Linked DNA regions of Caenorhabditis elegans. The main gene of each other region encodes a partner of the protein of the gene in region 3 in a complex. Each region holds a gene or a part of one and is shown on either strand. Other genes may lie near its edges.

Region 1 (4,901 bases), on a different chromosome or scaffold from region 3:
TGTTGAAAAATTTAAATAAGGCCACTAGGCCTCACCTCTACCTTTAGGTTGAGCACCGAAATCTGAGAAAAATATTTTTGAATCACTCCAAATTTTCTCCTTTCACTTGCGTCCAAATGAGATTTTTCAAACGCCGAATTTTCGCGCCAGAGACGAGCCATGTGTCGATTTACGAGAATTTTAATCTTTATCAGATGCTGATTTCTGTTTTCAACGAGTTTCCTTAATTTTCGTCGATTTTTGCCGAATTTTTTTTAAATGAAAATGTGTTTTTAAGTCAATTAAACATTATATTATCAAAAAACTAACAAAATTTCCAATTTTTCATTTTCAACAAAACTAAAAATTATTTTCAGATGGAGCGAATCTTTTTCTACATTTTTTAAAATCAATTTTAGATCAAAAAAGTAGAATTATCATATTCAAATAAGTAGTTTTGTTGGATAAATCATACTTTTTTCAAGGAACAAATTCTGAATATCCGTCGAGACTTTTCCCTTTGAATTCAGCTGCAAAACAAATCGCAATGCATCCACTGTCTCCTTCGGTCCAAAATTTTCATAGAATTTCGGCAGAACTTTCTTCGCAATATCATCAATTTTCGAAAACGCCTTATTTTGTTCCGTTGATTTCACAGTGATAGCCATTTGTGCAGCTGTGATGAATTGATCAATCGATTTTATGGGATTTTGTTCGAGCCACTTAAATAATTGAACAATTTAAATGGAGCTTAAGCTTATTGAGTACCTTGAAAAATTCCGTCGAAGTTTCTAATACAGTTCTGTTTTTCACGAGCTTCTGTGTTGGAGCAGCGGCGATGGAATGGAGGAAATCTGGAATTCAAATATTTTTTGATGTTTTTTGCATTATTCTACTTTTTTTTACTAAAAATAACCCGAAAAGCTTATTGCGAAACTTCAAAAATGTCGAAAAACACTTGATTTTAGCTAAAATCTCACATTTCGCAAAATTTTTCAAATATTTTGCCAAATTTCCCTTTTATTAAATTTTTGTCTTATTTTGGTCATTTATCACATGTTTTTTCGTAAAAATTGGTACATTTAAAGCCAAATTTGCTTAAAATTACCCTAAATTTACGAAATAACGTAAAATAAACCAAAGTAGCACAATAATCGAATTAAAATTATTTTCCGGCCGCTCTAAAGTTGGTCAAGTTGGAGATTCTAGCGGAAATTAGCTATTTTTTGAAATTTTTTTGACAATTTTAATAAAATTCTGGCCATTTAGAGCAAAAAAAATCTGCACCTACCATCAATTTCTGCAGGACCAGCTCCACTTTGAGCTGCGACGGAAAACTGACGACACGGAATCGTCCTGCAAAGCGTGGGTAATCCACGGCTCCACATTCTAGATATTTGCAATTTTTTTAAAAAAATATCAAGATTTGAACAAGAAAAGTACGAAAATGAGACGGAAACATATAAAATTTTACAAAATTTCTAAGATTAAATTTGAAAAAACTGATTTATCGACTGCAAAAAATGGGTTTAAAAAAAAAGGAATAACAACTCAAAACAACAATGAATAAGAAAAAAAGAACAGCTAATTGCCTAGAATCGGAGCACAAGCTTTCAGATGTTGCTGAGCAACTACTGCGAGACATTCGTACACGTCAGCACACGTGGCTTTCGCTGCATCCATGACTGTGGAAAGATGATCAATGTGAAGACGATTTTGAAGTTCCACGAGAATCACTTCGTCACGACCGCAGATTGTGGCGAGCTGAAAATTTTAAGCAATTATTTTTTAACGAAAAATCGAAAGTTTGTGTTTTTTCCCGATTTTTCGGAAAATAACTTAAAATTTTGGACATTTTTTTTTTTAGAATAGCAACCAAAATATGATTTCGGTTCCCGGAATATTGAAATTACGGCAATTTTTGAGAAGTCTCATTACAAAATTCATTAAATTAGACAATTTTTCAGCCTAAACATACAGTAACTCTGGGAAGGAGATCAGTTTCTTCTCTAGAAGTAAGATCAACAATTGGTTTTCCATCGACAACACCACACGTCGCTGCAGATGCGATGCCTTTCATTGGGATTCCTGCATCAGCAAGAGCCAAAGAAGTTGCATTGACACAGGCGGCCAGGTTGGAGCCGTCTCCTTGGATTACTTCACAGAAAATATCAAGTTGTGATCGAGGAAATGCTTCCGTCAGAATAACTGATTCGAATGCTTTCTCAAGAAGTCTGCTGATTTCAGTTGATTTTCGATCTCCACGTGTACGATTTTTTCTTTCAAGTCCCGAAAACTTTGTTGCACTATACTGACAAACAATGGCACATTTATCTTCGATTCTTTTTGACGATTTGCCTTCATACGGACCATAAACTGCACAAAGAACCTGAAAAGAGAATAATGTAACTTGAAATTAAATTCAAAACTTAAAAAAAAACCAACCTTGGTATTACCATGTTCCAGATAACAGCTTCCCTCCGCATTTCTGTTCAAGCCAAGACGAGTGTTAATGTTACGAATCTGAGCGGGACGGCGGCCGTCAATACGGAAACCATGTTCAGAGATGATGTTCATTGTCTGCAAAAGATTATTCGTGATTTTTTAAAAGAAATTATGGAAAATCTCACTTATTTTCTTCAATAACTGGAGTAGTTTCAACAGGAGTGGCTTCTGGAGCTGGGACCGCTGGCTCTGGCTTAGCGGATTTGATTGCTTCGGTTGGCGATTGCTCTCCTTGCTTGAAAAGTGCTTTTGGTGCTTGTTCTGCGAATACTAGCATAAACCGACGGTTCACTAGCATCTGCTTGTCAATACCTGAAATTTTGATTACAAAATCGTGTTTATACAATACAATAAATCTTACATTGACTGACACAGGACCCTTCGTCCTTTGTGAGTGTTGATGTGGTGTAGTCACGAGCGCAGGCGTTGAAACAACGTTCGCTGAGAGTGTTGTAGACGGTTAGAAATTCACGAAGCTGAAATTAAAGACATAAATGCGCGGGAGAGGATTTTCCTTTTTTCTGAGCACCTGTTGAATATTTTGAATAGTATTCATAAAGCATAAAACAGTCAACGCCCCGAAATGAGAATAATCTGAAATTTGAAGTTAAGAAAATGAGTAAAAAATTAAATAAAGAGAAAAAATTTGCATGCAAAATGCAACAAAAAAAACAAAAAGTTTCTGTGTATTTTACCGTCACGGTGTTTGCGGAAGTTTAAAGGCGCAGCGCTTTTCATGATTTCAATATCTTTCCACGAAGCATAGAGAGTGTACTTGTCGCGGAGACGCAGACGAACTTCTCCGAGGGACTTGAGTTTAATTTCATTTAAATTAAATTTTAAAAAAAAATTGATTTTCTTCGAGAAAATGCCACCAACTGCGCAACCACTGGAGTTTGATGATACAGCAAATGCTGTGCTTCCGGTTTTGTATTCTTCGACAGACGAAGAAGTCGGAATTTGGTATTTGTTGTATTATTACGAAATATACTATTTGAAAATCATATTTCAGGCGAGAGCTCCTTGCTTCCAAAAAGACAAACACGAATCAAGGCAGCACGGTGATTGTTCTGGGGGACAACCGAAGCGGAAAGTCGTCTCTTCTTTCCCGTCTGGACAAATCTGATAGAACCGTGAAGCCAAAATCACTACTTGGATATCGTGTGCTCCACGTGCAAAATGATGCTCGTGACGCCAGTTATGCATATCAACTGGGAACAGCCGGAGCCAATCTCAATCCATCAGAGTTGCTTCAAATCCCTGTCTGGTCTTTGGATGGGAATGCGGCGTGTGCTTCCCTTCTGAAACATGCTCTTCCAGCAACTCCCGCGGAAGCTATCTTCATTCTTACCGCGAGCATTGATAATCCGAGTAAGTATTATATATTCAAATAAATAAGTATTTAATTATTCAGATCTCATTCATTCCTTGAAAAGATGGGCAAATGTGTGCACCGAGCAAGCTCAGAAACATTTCACCAAAGAAGACTTGAAAGCCGGTAGATCTCAACGTAAGCTTATAAACTCTTTACTTCATGCAATTTAAAATAATTTTTTCCAGAAGAAAAAATGTGGCAAGAGTATGTGGATCCGGTTCAATCACAAATGAGCACTTCCGTAGTTGGAAGTTTCGCCGATGAGCACAACCTTCTTCCTCTCGACCAAGGAACTCTTACTGAGAACTGTGGAGTCACGTTCATGGTGGTCATTACCAAATCTGACCTGGGTATATTATTTAAAGAAAAATAAAATAAATGATGTTTGCAAAAGTTTTAGGAAAGGAATTCACAGATGCTCAATTCGCGAAGATCAGCATTCAACTGAGAAAATTCTGCCTCAGTCTCGGAGCGACTCTTGTCTTCACCAGCGCAAAAGAGACTAAAAATATTCAGCTCCTCCAAAAGTACATTGTACATCGATCTTTTGGCACGGCTTTTACCAGTGCAGCTCAAGTGATTGAAAGAGAGTCGATCTTTGTTCCAGCTGGATGGGACGGAGAGAAAAAGATCGATATTATTCGTGTAAGTTTTACATAAGTAATTGGAGAATCCGAGTTCATGATTAATTTCAGGAGTCTATTCCGGATGTGGATTCAGCTTTAGAGCCGACTCGCGATAAGCTTAGACCTGTCGCAAAAGAGCAGCTCATCGAAGCCGAGGAAGATCAGGCTTTCTTGAAGAAGTTGATGGACATCCTGGCAACTTCAACCACTACGGCCGCTCCCAAGCCGAGGACTATGCAAGAAGAGCCTACCGATAAGGACAGTCCACTCGCCAATTTCTTCTCCAACTTGCTCAATAAGGTAAATCAATCTTAGATCTTTTTTCTATGTGAATTTCCATATTTCAGGACAAGCCGAGCAAGGTGAGCTCTCCTTCCACTGTTTCCCAGCCGATGGATGCCGCAGCCACCCAGGCC
Region 2 (5,866 bases), on a different chromosome or scaffold from region 3:
TTGTTAGTGCTATTCAAATAAAAAATTCAAGTTCAACTCACTATTACCAAAGAAGCGTCTGAATTTATTGATAGCCTATCAAATTGAGTAGTCATGTTGTTCTATAAAATATCAAAATTTTTATTAAAAAATTTTTATTAAGCTTCTAGACTTGAACTGGTTCTAACTGAATGTTATAATTGAATAAACTCACATTTATATCACAGAAACGATCTGATTTTGACTTATCGTCGTGATTATCCATTTTTGAAACAAGACGAGAGAATGAAGTAATGAATAATATCATCGGGAATTTTCCCGAATAAACTTTAAATTTCCCCGTGAAATCTCATTACCCTTTTCCACGTTTTGTAGTCTATAGATCTGGGACAGTGATAAGAAGGTTGCTATAAATTGAGAATATTTTGCCATAATCTTCATAGAGTTTTCATAACTCCTTCATCGAACGACCATGGCCCAATCCGTCCCACCAGGAGACATCCAAACCCAACCAAACGCGAAGATCGTCTTTAATGCTCCATACGATGACAAGCACACCTATCACATCAAGGTGATCAACTCATCGGCTCGTCGTATTGGATATGGTATCAAGACCACCAATATGAAGAGACTTGGAGTTGATCCACCATGTGGAGTTCTCGATCCAAAGGAAGCTGTGCTTCTTGCTGTTTCCTGCGATGCTTTCGCCTTCGGACAAGAGGATACCAACAACGACCGTATCACTGTTGAGTGGACCAACACCCCGGATGGAGCTGCCAAGCAATTCCGTCGTGAATGGTTCCAGGGAGACGGTATGGTTCGTCGCAAGAACCTTCCAATCGAGTACAATCCATAGGATGTGTGAACTGGGTTTCTTAACAATAAACTTTTTTCAAGTATATGTTCTGTTTTTCTGTTTTAATCTGCAAATTGAATATATATTAATACTCAAGCGAACAAGTTTTGTGTTCCATCGATGCCCTTAACATAAGCATCCGGGATTTATTGTAAATCGTTTGGAACTATAGTAATCCTACCTTAATCTTCCAGTAGTCATTCAGTTCAGAAGACTACCCAACCATACTACTAACCCAGCCCATCTCTCCAAAACCTGAAAGCTGTTTTGCTCCGTAAAGGTCGAGGAGGGTGTATTTTTCTTACAAATCAAAGAAATTAACAAGTGAACCGATCACAACTTTTTTTGCTGATATGAGAGAAAAATACTTTATTGATTGGTTCGAGTAAATTTTCGAATTTTCGAAAAAGGAAAGATCCCTGGTATATAATGTCTCAGCTCTGCTATGTATTTTTCTATTTGAAATTCCGAATTCAAATTTTCTCTAGATGAAAGCCTTGGTATTGAATTCTATGCTGGGTTTAGTAAATTTTCGAATTTTCGATAAAAATTATATAATGAAGAAAAATATCCAAATTGGAGGTATTTTAATTTTAGAATACGGGAACGAAGAAGATCAAGATCACATACAAAGTTTAATGGATCTGAAGACATTTCAATTTATCTGGGTAGAACCAATTCTTCAACTCCAAATTCTACAGTAACCGATTCTTAAACATCTTATGGAAGTCCATCGAGATATGTATTTCATTATCATGTTCTTACCCGTTTTTTTTCAATAATGAGATTCTATATTTCGCTTAATGTTTTTATTGTTCTTATTGCTTCCAAAAATTAACATTAAAACAATAAATATTTTGCATCTTGACAAATTTAACATTTTAAAGTCTGGTCAGATTTCATCCTTGAGGACAGTGCTGTGTCTACATACATGAAAAAAAATCAAAAAGTGGCGATTATTTAGTTTCATCCGCATTAAATTTTGTAAGACAAAAAAGTTTGGCAATTTACCAAATCTATGACTGAAAAATTTTCAAAAATCTAAAAACGTTTTGAGCATTATTTTTTAAGGTTATGAGGCCCTAGATAATCATGTTTCCTACCCGATTATCTATTTTAGATGTTTAAACTTCCGTTTTCATGATTTTAGCCATACTCTATTTAGATATATTCTTCCTTTTCATTTCATTTTTCCTCGCAGCTGCGATGGCAGTGTTGTTCGAAGTGTTCGTTTTCGTAGTGCCTACGACACTCCGATGTTCCACTCGCGCGTGTTGTTCACCGTAAATGTACACTGAGTTTTTCTTCGAATAAAATAGTTTTTCCTTCATTTTTCACCTGATTCGTGCGATTTTATTTGTTTTTCACACGTATTTTCATTATTTGAAGGTATGGATTTGAACGTCAAACAAAGTGGAATTCATTCCGTCGCTTTGCACACGACTTACTTCCAAAATCGCTCGGGGAAAGTCTATAAAGTGAGAAAACCTCTCCGAAATCACCTAACCCAATTAAAATTTTGCAGAGAGCCGAAGAAAGATATCTACGAAATGATCTTTCATGTGGACTTGCTCAATGTGGAACCTGCAAGGATTTCGGCACAAATCCGCTGTTAAAAATTGAAAATCCCGTAAGAAATGCGAAAGTTGGAAGGCACGCGCTGATTGTGGATTCCACATCATTAATCAGATTCTACGATTTGTTTGATTCGTCTTTATTGAGGTAATGAATTAAAATTACAGCGGAATCATTTAAATGTAGATGGTTCTACTGTCCAATTATTAAATTCTTAATTTGTTGCTCCAAATTCAGTTTTTAGAAGTTGTCGGGATTGTAACAAACATCTAGTTTCAATTAAAAACTCTGTAAAATAATAAATTATATTTAATTTTCAGAGATCTCATCGTAACCCAGACTGTATGGGAAGGAGTCAAAGCAAAAGCTGTACCAGCCTACAAGAAAATGAATTCTTTGTGTTATGAAGATGCGAAAGACAGATTTCACGTGTTCATGAACGAATTTCACTGCGAGACCTTCTCCGAATCATCGAAATTTGAGGATTTGAGTCGTGGCGAAGAGCTTCTACTTTCAACAGCTCTTTACTTGAAAACTCATTGGCAGAAGCATAACGTGGCTCCTGTTGTCTTAGTTTTTGATGAAGATTCGAAAAAAAGAATGGAAAATCACTACCAACACGTGATGTATTTAAAGGTTAATAGTCGAAAAGTTCAAAACTCTGTGGATCTTTTCTGAAACTGGCGAAATTTCGAAAAAGAGCCAAATTTTGTTAAAAGAAAATTTTTGATTTCTTAAGACTCATAATGAAATTCTGTCGTTCCGAGCTAGTTTCAGACTATTTCAGCCAAAAACCCTAAAATATACACCTCTTTAACATATTTTCGCCGTAACTAAACTTTTATTCAACTAAAAATCATGATCCTTAATCAAAAATTGTATAATAAAGTACAATAAAGTTTGAAAAATGATCCAGTAACCCCGTAGAAAAAGAAAAAATCTCCAAATTTTCAGGAATACATACAAAATTTGGAGGATCCAGGAAAACAAGCACTTTTGGATCAAATGGCTGCGTATGAAAGCTCTGGAAATGGAAATGAGAAACAAATTTTCGATGAATATCTATCGCATGATAGAATTATGGAGGGAATTGCCAGTGGAACGATCAAAAGAGGAAATTTCAGTGTTTCAAGAGAAAATTATCGCGAAGCTACTGTTATTATTGATGATCAGTTAACATCTTGGTTCATCACAGGTGCTTGAATTTAGTTGAAATATTTATTTTCGAAAACCAACCAAATTTTTCACACAAGTCATTACTTTTTGCTGAGAATTTTAAAAAAACTTTTTTATAACGAAATTAGGTGGTTTTCGGTCATTTTGAGCGAAACAACTCTGAAATTATATTTTTAAAAAAGGTGAAATTTTTCCAAAAATTCCAATTCTCTGAATAATAAAATTTTTATTTCGAATTTTAGGAAATAATTGCAATCGTGCCGTCAATGGAGATACCGTCGCAGTTCAACTTTTGCCAGAAGACCAATGGACTGCTCCAGAGAAGAAAATTCGACTCCGTGACGTTGAAGAATATGTTAAAACTGCAGATGACATGGGAAATGAAGACGAGGAGAATGATGACGAGAACGATGAGCCAAAAGCTAAAAAGTCGAAGAAAATGACTGTTTCAACTGCAAAAGTTGTTGGAATTATCAAAAGAAATTGGCGTGAATATTGTGGAATGTTGCTGCCAAGTACAGTGAAAGGAGCCAGAAGACACTTGTTCTGTCCAGCTGAACGACTTATTCCAAGAATTCGAATCGAGACGGAACAGGCTGAAACTTTATCACAGCAGAGAATTGTGGTGGCTATTGATCACTGGCCAAGAGATTCCAAGTATCCACTTGGACATTACGTCAGGTATGTGAAATTTCAGAAAATCTTGAAATATTTTAACGGAATGACTGTTGTTTTCAGATCAATCGGAGAGATGGGATCCCGTGAAACTGAAAATGAGGTTCTCCTTCTCGAACATGATATTCCACATGCTCCATTCTCAGAATCTGTTCTTGATTGTCTACCACGTGAAGAATGGGAACCAGATCTCACTGAAAACCGCGGCCCTCTACCACGTGTTGATTTGAGAGATTTAACAATTTGTTCAGTTGATCCACTTGGATGTACAGATATTGACGACGCATTACACTGTAAACAAATTGGAGAGGATCTTTTCGAAGTTGGAGTTCATATTGCAGATGTCACGCATTTTGTTAGACCAGGTAAATATACTGAAATTATTTAAAAATTCAAGTTTTACTAAAAAAAATGTTTGTCCTTTGAGGTTCGAATAAAACCTCATTTATTTTCAAAAAAAGAACCAAAATTTCCTACGTTTAGGAACCGCAATCGACGATGAAGCAGCATTACGTGGAACTACAGTATACCTTTGTGATCGTCGTATCGATATGCTTCCATGTCTGCTCAGTTCCAATTTGTGCTCACTTCGCGGAGAAGAAGAGCGTTATGCATTTTCGTGTATTTGGACAATGACTTCTAGTGCTGATATACAATCAGTTAAATATCACAAATCTCTAATTAAATCAAAAGCTGCATTGACTTATGAGAAGGCACAAGAGATTATTGACGATCCAAAAGAGCAGAATGACGTGGCATTGGGATTACGTGGATTGATGAAATTGTCGAAAGTTTTGAATGCGAGAAGAACTGGAAATGGAGCATTGACGTTGGCATCGAGTGAAGTTCGCTTTGATATGGATTGGGAGTCCAGAACACCAAAGGTTTAAAATTTAAAAAATATTACAAAAAAAAAAGTTATATTCAAATTCAAAGAAGAAATATATTTTATACAACAGAGCGACCTAGAAACTGATTTTCATTTAGATTATTACAGTAATCTCTCATTAGAGCGCGCTTGCGAAATTTCCAGTTCTTTTTTGCTAACTTTTAAACCATTTTAAACCAATAAAAATGATTTAGATCAGGCAATATCCCTCAAAATGATTTTTATTTGAAAACATTTCTTGGGAGTTTTGTGAAATTTGTTTTAAAAATACTCAGACAACCCTATTTCTCATCTAATTAGAAAAATAGGATGAACTAACGCGCACCAGTTCGGCATGCTTTTTTTCTAATTCGACGCGCATTGTTTCTAATTCGACGAGCATCCCTTCTAATTAGATGTGGTGTGCGTGTTTTCTAATTAGATATGCATCCTTTCTAATTAGAAAATCCTTTTCTAATTAGATGTGGTTAATTTCTTATTAGATGTGGCTATTTTCGAATTAGATGAAAAATGGGGTTGTCTGAGATACTTGGCTTATGTATGCTGTTGCTGATCAAAAATGATCAAAAACTTACATATTTATTGTGCAAAAGATGTATGTGAAAAACGAATTGTGTTTAATAATCGTAGAAAATCGCAATGTTTTGTATAAATGTGCTCTAAATTTCACCAATGGAGTATAACCAGAAAAACATGATTTTAAACAGGGAAAATCG
Region 3 (5,007 bases):
GTATGCCAATCTATTTTTTGGTATGTCAATCTATTTTTTGGTATGCCAATCTATTTTTTGGTATGTCAATCTATTTTTTGGTATGTCAATCTATTTTTTGGTATGCCAATCTATTTTTTGGTATGCCAATCTATTTTTTGGTATGTCAATCTATTTTTTGGTATGCCAATCTATTTTTTGGTATGCCAATCTATTTTTTGGTATGCCAATCTATTTTTTGGTATGTCAATCTATTTTTTGGTATGTCAATCTATTTTTTGGTATGTCAATCTATTTTTTGGTATGTCAATGTAAATGCTGTATTTTTCAAAAATTCAAAAGTACTATAAAATCATATGAAGCGCTTCTTTTTTATTTTATAAAACTGTTTAGCATTGCCAAATATACCAGAAAATACCAAAAAAAGTATACTAGCTTGTCCGCAAGTATTTTAAAAAATTGATAGAAATATATAAAAGCTGTATTTTTCAAAAATTCAAAAGTGCTGGAAAATCATATGGTTCTAAATTACCAGATTATCCCAAATTTCATAACAAGATTTTCAAGACAATGTTCAACTTTTATTCATAAATTAATTGCTTCAGTTTGAATTATCCAAACTTGGATGGTAGGTCGAATCCCATGATGATATGTCGGTCTGAGGCAGGTCGAATATGGTTAGCTCGAGGTTTTCCAACAACCGACAAGATGGAGAGTACAGCAAACACTAAAACGCAATAAATGTTCATTTGAAGAACCGAAGTGAGGAAAAGGTTTGTGATCGGAAGGCTTTTATTCCACCCACATCGATAAAGTTAGTTCCGGGAGCGGGAGCATCAAAGATGTATGCTTCGATGCTTAAAAACCTTGTGATCATTTGCACGGAAAATATAAGTTTGCAAATACACTCAAATCATACAACGCAAGTCGAATTGTTAATGTTAGGGGTTCCAAAACGCCTGCCTGCCTGACCTTAAGGCGGCCTCCGCCTGCCTCTCGTGAGGCCCTGAAACCGTGCCTGCCTACCTAGCCTCAACTACCTAACAGAAAACTGCTCAATATGTAGGAGCATTTTGGACTAGAAAAATAAATTTGAAATTTTTTAATTTTGTCTCGCACTTCTTTAGAGTCCCGTAGATTAACTCCAATTTGGGATTTTTTTTTTTCAAACTTTCTACTTCAAAGTCCCATTTTATTAGGTCATAGATTTTCCATCTAAGCCTAAGCCTAGGAATTAGCCTAGGCCTAAGCCTCAGTCTAAGCCTAAGCCTAAGCCCTAAAAACTGAAAGGCCTGCGGCGCGATTAACAAGATTATAAGCCCAAAAAACAGAGTTTGAATGTTCAATATTTATCAGTAATCAACAGAAACTGCACAAAAATTATTGTGGACGTGGTGCACCGATGATGACTCCGCTTCCGTATCCACTGCTTCCTCCGCACTTCTTTCCTCCTTGTGGCAAGAAGATTCCAGAAACTGAAGAAATAGCCAAGATGGCGAAGACGCAGACAGAGTAGACGTTCATGATGATGATGAAGAAGAAGAAGATGCTTCTGATGCTTGAATTCTGGAAGAAGTTGGCTTTTATAGTACCGTGTAGGGGGCGGGTGGGGGGTTCGGGGACATAAAATTGTTATATTTTAGTTGCGATTTTGATGATAACTCGTAAAAATTGAAGTTTGAGCGTTTCGGGGAAGCGGAGAGGCTGCAAAACTTGCAAAAATCGGAGTCAGGAACAGTTGAAAATTCAACAAAACGAATTTCCCTGAAAATCTCTAATTTGAATTCCCGCCAACGAATTGTCTGCGTCTCCACTCTCTGGGATGTGGGCGAACGCGCTCCACTGCACATTTCGATTCGATTTCTCTTTTTTCTCTTTTGACGCATTTTCACATAATTATTGTATTTTTCGAAGTTTTCTGCGGGTTTTCTCCGATTTTTTTCGATAAAATTAAATTTTAAAATTCGGAAATATAATATTTATCAATTTTAAGCCATGAAATATCGTAAAATTCCTATGTAATCACCCATAATAGGATTTTTATCGATTTTTTGTTGCAAAAATCCCATTTTCATTGTTTTTCTTTTCCTAAAGCTAATTGAACTTTGCGGCTAATTTACACGATTAACTTATGAATTTTCAGAATCAAAAAATGGGCAAGCGCAATCTGGACGAGACAATGAACGAGTCGACCGTATCAGAAGCCAATGGAGACGCCACCGCACCAACCACCGAGAAGGACGAGTACCAGGCACTTTGCGAGCTGGTAAATCATTAATTTCGCTGGTTTTTTAATGAAAAATGTCTTATTTTCAGGTAAACCCAATCGCTCAGCCACTAGCAAACCGCAAGTTGGCCAAGAAGGTGTACAAGCTCATCAAGAAGGCCTCCGCCGGCGATAAAACCCTCCGTGAGGGCATCAAGGACGTGCAGAAGGAGCTCCGCAGAAACGAGAAGGGAATCTGCATTCTTGCTGGTAGGATTTTAATCTATTTTTCCCTTAAAACGTTCAATTTTTCAGGAAACGTCTCTCCAATCGATGTGTACTCACATATTCCGGGAATCTGCGAGGAGAAGGAGATCCCATACGTCTACATTCCATCTCGTGAGCAGCTCGGACTCGCCGTCGGACATCGTCGCCCGTCGATTCTGATCTTCGTCAAGCCGAGTGGGGACTTCAAGGAGCTGTACGACGAGGTCGCCGAGGCTCTCCGTCATCTCACCGTCGAGGCCGCCTAAATTGTTTTTTCTCTGGTTTTCACTGTTTTTTTTTTGTTGTTGATTTTTTAAAATTTCTTGATCTGTATCACCATCTTTATCCACAATTGTTCACTCATTAAATTGTTGTTATCTACAGACTTTTTCTTTTTATTCTTTAATCCTTTCTCGGTAATTTCCAAAACTCAATTTTGTTACTCGAAATCAATCTAAATCACAGCAAATCCCGTTCTAAACCACTTTCAGCTCAGAAAATGCTCGCCGAAACGCTTGTGGCGCCCGGCGACAAGGTTCTCGACGCGATTGGTGAATATCGAATGGGGAAGGGATTATACGAGGCGAATCGAAGGATCTTCGCGTCGGTAGCCGGTTTTGTCAACGTTTATGGATTCAGAGATGTAATTTTCGCACAAATCGCAAGCGTGGAGCCCGAAAATTTCCGTTTTTTCTGCAGAAATCCGACAACCTGGTGCAAGTGATCGAAGTTCGCCGCAGCGAAGATCAGCTCGACAATGAGCTTCTCCCATTCCACGGAGCCATCGTCACCGCCAAAGTGATGGCTGTCGGATTACGGTAGAGCAGCTTTTCGTTGCTCTGAAAACCGACAGAAAATATTGCAGATTCGCCAAATGTGACATCATCAGTATCGGCGATAAGGTTTACAAGAAGCGGTTCTCGGCGCTGCTGCCGAAAAAGAAGCTGAGGCCGCTGGAACCTGAATTGGTTGGATTTTGCCTGGATTGTGGGTCTCGCCACGAAAAAATTAAGAATTTCTGCTTACAAATGTGGGAAAAACCTTTTTTTTAGCAGAAAATTAGGTTTTTTTGCGAAAATTCTTATGAAATTTCGCATAAAAATGGCCGATTTTAAGGTTTTTTGCAGAAAAGTCGTCAAAATTCCTGATTTCTTGTGGAAACATCGGAAAAACATTGATTTTAGACTGATTTTCACTAAATTTCAACTGAAATTCTCGGTTTTTTACTCAAAAAACAAATTTCCCTCTTTTTTCTTATTTTAAAGCGATTTTCGAGCAAAATTTTTTTTTAAACATTAGATATGGGCCGAAATCGTGGCGAGACCCAAACTGAGAACCCAAGTAGTGTATCGCACAGAAAAAGAGGCGGAGCTTAAATTCGCAACCCTGCGGCACGGGGTTTCCTTCCTTTTTCGCATGTTTTACACTGATTTTTGTTGATTTTTTTCAATGAAGTTTAGATTTTACTAACTAAGAAGTGAAATTTTAAAAAATCAATAAAAAATGCAGTAGAAAACTGGCAAAAAGGTGGAAAAACCGTGCCGGAGGGTTGCGAAATTACGCTCCGCCTCTTTTTCTGTGCGATACTGCTTTAGAGGCAAAAAATTGAAATAAAGAGCATTTTTTGCAGAGTGAGCCATTCAAAAACTTTGTGCGACCCAACGACTACATTCTGGCAAAAGTTTGTGAAGACGCCGAAATCAAGGACAAATTCGTTTTATCGATCGCCGAAGACGAGCTAGGCGTTGTGCTGTGCCGTGGACGATTTGGTGAACCAATGCAAAAAGTCGACTGGAATACGGTGGTCTCGACACGAACCGGCAAAACGGAACCCAGGAAAATGGCCAAAGTTCCGCAAAAGTGCACATTGCCCACGCAATCGGTGGCCTGAATAATTATCCTCTCTGAAAAGATCTTTGAATCGTTATATTTTTGTACTTTTTTTTGTGTTTTTGGGGGCCATTGTTTCGAGGAAAAAAAAGTCATAATTGTTCCCCCACTCATTCCTTCCTTTTTTGTTGAACAATTTTTCAAAAAAAAAAAAATGTTTCTCGGTTTTTTTTTTTCAACTTTTCAGGTTCTAGAATTTTTAGTTTTTCCATTTTTCCGGCGGAAATTTTTTTTATAATTTCAATTTTCAAAAAAGAGTAACTGAAATTGTGCGAAAATTCAAATTAGCCCAGTAACCGCGCCCTATTGAGAATTTACCGGTCTCGCAGCGAAATGTTGACTTTTTTCTTTTGAATTGCTTATAAACCAAGAAATTCGGCGATTTTTGTGAAAATATAAAGTTTTCGGTCTGGACACAACAAATTTTTGTTAAATGCAAAAAGGTGTGCGCCTTTAAAGAGTACTGTAGTTTCAAAATTTCGTTTCTGCCGAATTTAAATCGATTTTCCAAATTTTTTCTCACGATTTGTTTAGCTTTTTGCTAAAAAAAACATACGTTTTCATCAAAAAACTGTGAAAAATCTCTCAAAATTATGCGACAACTAAAGTTTGAAGCTACAGTACTCCTTAAAGGCGCACACCTTTTTGCATTTAACGAAAATTTG
Region 4 (4,162 bases), on a different chromosome or scaffold from region 3:
ATGCACAGGAAGCACGAGGTGTAATGAACGATACTATGGATCATATCACTTCAGTTTTAAAATCAAAAATCGACTTTTCACACACTAGATTTGACGAAGAACGCGGAGAAATTTATATTGATAAGACAGATGAAGGAATGGATATCGAGCTGAAAGATCATAAAGAATCATTGTTATCAGTGCTCCAAACGGCTGAAATTCCAAGTGTGGAAACTATGATTGTTGTGGAAAAAGGAAAGAAATCGGATAATCAGAAAGTTAAAAAGTTGTTGAATGAACTTGACAAATTTGTAACTCCATTTGAATGTTATCAAATGATGATGATTACAAAAGAAAAGCAAGAAGAAGAAGAGAGAAAAGAGGCTGAGAGAAAGAAATTGGAGGAAGGTGATCTACCGAAGACTATGTTCTCACATCATGATGCTCCGATTAATAGAAAACCTGAATTCGATGCGAAGGTTGGTAGATATAATGAAATCTGAAAAAAATCGTTTTTTTTTTTGGGAAAAACCGAAAAAAAATGTCTGAAAAGAAAATTCCAAAATCGGTATTGCTCATACGGAATTCAGAGATTGCTTTATTCTTAAAAAAAAATTTTCGGCGGAAAAACGTACAGATTTGATAGAAAATTTTTTTTTTTCGATTTTCTCTGAAAAAAATTTAGTAAAAAAACTTTAAAAAAAAATTATCTGAAAAAATCACTAAAATCTTTTTTTAATTTTCTCTGAAAAAATAAATAAAAATGAATTTTTTTTCGATTTTCTCTGAAAAAATCAGAAAATAAAACTTCTTTTTTTTCGATTTTCTCAAAAAAAAAATAAATGAAAAAAAATATATTTAAAAATTCCGATGACATCCTTGGTTTTAATAAGATAATTTTCAGCTTCTAAACGTTGATACACTGAAGCTGGTCCCAGATGATCCGAACAAGCCGAAAGATCCAGAACCTTCACCAATGGAAGAATCTTCATCGGAACCTCAAATCTTCGATCCATCTCGTTTTACCGACGACCAGCTACTGTCAAAGAAGGCAATGAAAAGAAAGAGAGATGCTGCTCGACGAAATATAGATGTTTCTGTTGTGCTCGGCGAGTCGTCGAGTAGTTCAGATCCAAAAAAGAAAAAATCTGATGATGATGCTCCCGTTGAAGATTTTGATTATGAAAAAGCTGATAGTAGTGCATTTGGTAAGTTATATTCCTTTGAATTATCCAGACGCGAGATTTAAGGCTAAAAATACGGTACCAGGTCGCGACAACTTGCAAAATGGTGTGCGCCTTTGAAGAGTACTGTAGTTTCAAATTTTCGTTACTGGGAAATTTTCTTCGGTTTTATTTTAGTTTTTTAATAAATAAATTTAAAACTAAAAAAAATTCCGCAGCAACAAAAGTTTGAAATTACAGTACTCTTTAAAGGAGCACACCAGGGCTGGGACAAAAAATATTTTTGAACAAAAAACCAAAATTGAAATTTACGAATTTGCGAAAAACGAACAAAAACCAAAAAAAGTTGATGCTTGAATTTATTTTTCAAAAAAATCGTGAATATGTGAAAATGTATTGGTTTTTCAAAAAATATTTTTGTTGGTCTGAAAAAAAAAACAAAAAAATCAATTTTTCGTCAAAATACAAGAAATATTTCAATTTTTGTTGAATTCCAACAAAAAAACCCAAAAAAAAATCAATGTTATTCGTCGAAGTGCCAATAAAAGCTATTAAAAAACCCAAAAAAAAAAATTCAAAATACCAAAAAAAAACACCAAAAAATCAATTTTTCGTTAAATTCCAAAAAGAACCGCAAATTTGCAAAAAAAAAACGTTTTCTGGCTCAAAATTTGGATAATACCGTACCCAATTATATAGCTCTCAAAAAAGTCTCGAAATCAAATTCCTAATAAATTATTTCCAGAAAAACCTGTTCGAGACAACAACGCCGATTTCGATCCATTCCATCAAAAATATCGATTGAAGAACAAGACAAAGAAGAATATGGCTATGAAAAAATCATCGAATCGACAAGGAACCATCAACTACAAAAAATGATTAAATTGTTACATCCCATCCCATTACCATTGTTATTTTACTTTTTGTTGTTGTGCTTTTTCTTTTGCTTTGAAATTAAAGAAAACTGTTTTTGAAATCTTTTTATTTATTTATTTTTAATTCAATTTGGTTTTCCACCAATTTCAGTTATATTTTCTACAAAATTCATTTTTGTGATTAATTTTGATTTCAGATATCCCCAAATGGCCGGCAGACTTCGTGAAATGCGTTGTGAGCTCTCGTTCCTCAAAAACGCGGATGGCTCGGCATGCTTCTCCCAGGGTGCCACGTGTATTTGGGCTTCATGCAGTGGTCCTGGAGATGTTCACGCTTCGAAAGCAAGTGATGAGGCTATGACTCTGGATATTAGTTATAGAGCAAATTGTGGAGATAACAAGTTCAATGTGGTAGGGGTTTTTGTAGAAATTACTTTTGGAATAATTCTTTTTTCAGCTGAACAATATCATTCATTCTACTCTATCCAATGCAATCAATCTCGAATTGTTTCCCCACACAACAATTTCTGTCACAGTACATGGAATTCAGGATGATGGAAGTATGGGAGCTGTAGCGATAAATGGAGCTTGTTTTGCTCTACTTGACAATGGAATGCCATTCGAGTAAGTTTTTTTAGATACTGTTTTAAAACTGTAATATAATTTTTCAGAACAGTCTTCTGTGGTGTCCTTATTGTTCGTGTCAAAGATGAGCTGATTATTGATCCGACAGCAAAACAAGAAGCTGCATCGACTGGAAGAGTGCTCTTTTCAGTGTGCAAAGGATCCGATGGACATCCAGAAGTGTGTGCGATGGACGCTATAGGACATTGGGATTTTATTCAGCTGGAAGCCGCGTGGTCATTGGCACAACCATCTGCCAGTGCTATTTTTGATTTCTACAAAACTGTGATGAAGAGGAAGCTTTCGGTTGATGAGCAATAGATTATCAATGTTTTGTTGTTGTCGTTGTTGATTTTAATTTTTTATTTAATTTTGAATCCATTGTTTTGTGAGATATTAAAATCTTAAATTTCAAAGTCGAAGTTTTTGTAGAAATGTGACAAGAGAAGGTATTTAGGTATTTAAGAATAGGTTAAGCTTCAGATCCATAATTTGAATATTCGTAGACTCCAGCCGGATCTGAAATAAAAATGGTGAATTTTCAAAATAAGAAAAAAAATCTCACTCAAATGATGTGATCCATTATTCCATCTTCGAACATTTACAACCAGATTGAACACGTGGATGAGTGCAATAATAAAACAAAAAATTGCGACCACCAAAAATCCGAAATCATCAGTCACTTCTTCACTACTAATCGATATTGCCATGGAGATAACATAGCAAATAATTGCAAGAATCGATCCAATACATTCCTAGAAATTCAAATTTCCGTGTAGTTTCACGTGTGCCCCATCGATGCCCGAACTTACAATTGCTGCATACGGTAGCATTCGAATCGCCATTATTGAGATATCGTACTCCTTGAGAAGTACTGCAATTGTGCAAATATCGAAGACGATGGAGCATCCAATTGTGAACCAAATTACTGACATTCCTGAAAAAAGAGGTTTTACGAGAAATTTTAGTACAAAAATCGAACCTGGTGGTCGGAACTTGATGGTTCCAAGGTAGATGAGTAGTGTCAAAGATCCCAGCTAGAATTATTTTATATTTTTATATTACATAGGCGTCTAAATATGATAATTTTTGCGGATGGGTCTCGCCACGCGAATAACGAGTTACTGTAACTCTGTGCCTACGAAGGATGGAGGCCCGTAAATCGACACGAGTTACAGTAACGCGATTTTCGCGTGGCGAGACCAATGCGCGAACATTCGCATCAGACGTCTACGTATTACTAGAACATAAAATTCTGAGACTGCGTATTGCGCAACATATCTGACGTGCAAAATAAACTTCATCAATAAACTATGAAAACATCGCAAAATCGGACCAGCGCTACAATAGTCATTTAAAGAATTACTGTAGTTTTCGCTACGAGATATTTTGCGCGTCAGATCTGTTGCGTAATACGCATTCTCAGAATTTAGTGATCTCGTAATAATAGAAGAATCTTAGGCCATCGAGATAGCCCCGTGACCAAATTTCAGGTGTCAC

Evidence for each region.
Region 1: exos-1 (region 3) and exos-4.1 share a complex: the UniProt entries of both Caenorhabditis elegans proteins name them as parts of the RNA exosome complex.
Region 2: exos-1 (region 3) and dis-3 share a complex: the UniProt entries of both Caenorhabditis elegans proteins name them as parts of the RNA exosome complex.
Region 4: exos-1 (region 3) and crn-5 share a complex: the UniProt entries of both Caenorhabditis elegans proteins name them as parts of the RNA exosome complex.

What each region holds. Positions count from the first base shown.
Region 1 is NC_003282.8:13,097,182-13,102,082, reverse strand, and holds exos-4.1 (Putative exosome complex component RRP41), read right to left. Parts: upstream 3,079-4,901; 5' UTR 3,041-3,078; coding exon of another isoform or gene 3,014-3,040; intron 2,961-3,013; coding exon of another isoform or gene 2,846-2,960; intron 2,797-2,845; coding exon of another isoform or gene 2,610-2,796; intron 2,560-2,609; coding exon of another isoform or gene 2,557-2,559; coding exon 2,425-2,556; exon of another isoform or gene 2,369-2,424; coding exon 1,958-2,368; intron 1,744-1,957; coding exon 1,564-1,743; 3' UTR 1,477-1,563; downstream 1-1,476. Other genes in the region: fask-1 (RAP domain-containing protein), read right to left, coding at 455-701, 748-833, 1,271-1,367; tin-9.2 (Mitochondrial import inner membrane translocase subunit Tim10B), read right to left, coding at 2,553-2,559, 2,610-2,796, 2,846-2,960, 3,014-3,040; dli-1 (Dynein light intermediate chain), read left to right, coding at 3,353-3,447, 3,497-3,855, 3,899-3,994, 4,045-4,209, 4,254-4,504, 4,555-4,785, 4,833-4,901. UniProt on the Caenorhabditis elegans protein: Non-catalytic component of the RNA exosome complex which has 3'->5' exoribonuclease activity and participates in a multitude of cellular RNA processing and degradation events.
Region 2 is NC_003282.8:10,094,982-10,100,847, forward strand, and holds the start of dis-3 (putative exosome complex exonuclease RRP44), read left to right. Parts: upstream 1-2,220; 5' UTR 2,221-2,226; coding exon 2,227-2,313; intron 2,314-2,360; coding exon 2,361-2,557; intron 2,558-2,730; coding exon 2,731-3,046; intron 3,047-3,364; coding exon 3,365-3,605; intron 3,606-3,828; coding exon 3,829-4,267; intron 4,268-4,324; coding exon 4,325-4,626; intron 4,627-4,744; coding exon 4,745-5,145; intron 5,146-5,866. Other genes in the region: C04G2.5 (BTB domain-containing protein), read right to left, coding at 42-101, 194-244; msp-36 (Major sperm protein 10/36/56/76), read left to right, coding at 452-835. UniProt on the Caenorhabditis elegans protein: Putative catalytic component of the RNA exosome complex which has 3'->5' exoribonuclease activity and participates in a multitude of cellular RNA processing and degradation events. Has both 3'-5' exonuclease and endonuclease activities.
Region 3 is NC_003281.10:11,006,100-11,011,106, forward strand, and holds exos-1 (Exosome complex component CSL4 homolog), read left to right. Parts: upstream 1-2,943; 5' UTR 2,944-2,951; coding exon 2,952-3,095; intron 3,096-3,151; coding exon 3,152-3,270; intron 3,271-3,317; coding exon 3,318-3,420; intron 3,421-4,082; coding exon 4,083-4,343; 3' UTR 4,344-4,507; downstream 4,508-5,007. Other genes in the region: fipr-17 (FIP (Fungus-Induced Protein) Related), read right to left, coding at 1,360-1,503; Y48A6B.3 (Putative H/ACA ribonucleoprotein complex subunit 2-like protein), read left to right, coding at 2,132-2,245, 2,296-2,455, 2,501-2,718. UniProt on the Caenorhabditis elegans protein: Non-catalytic component of the RNA exosome complex which has 3'->5' exoribonuclease activity and participates in a multitude of cellular RNA processing and degradation events. Involved in regulation of antisense ribosomal siRNA production.
Region 4 is NC_003280.10:10,590,517-10,594,678, forward strand, and holds crn-5 (Exosome complex component RRP46 homolog), read left to right. Parts: upstream 1-2,235; 5' UTR 2,236-2,245; coding exon 2,246-2,449; intron 2,450-2,495; coding exon 2,496-2,662; intron 2,663-2,709; coding exon 2,710-2,983; 3' UTR 2,984-3,075; downstream 3,076-4,162. Other genes in the region: crn-3 (Exosome complex component 10 homolog), read left to right, coding at 1-458, 884-1,187, 1,909-2,042; C14A4.6 (MARVEL domain-containing protein), read right to left, coding at 3,135-3,181, 3,228-3,417, 3,475-3,599, 3,645-3,699. UniProt on the Caenorhabditis elegans protein: Non-catalytic component of the RNA exosome complex which has 3'->5' exoribonuclease activity and participates in a multitude of cellular RNA processing and degradation events. Involved in apoptotic DNA degradation.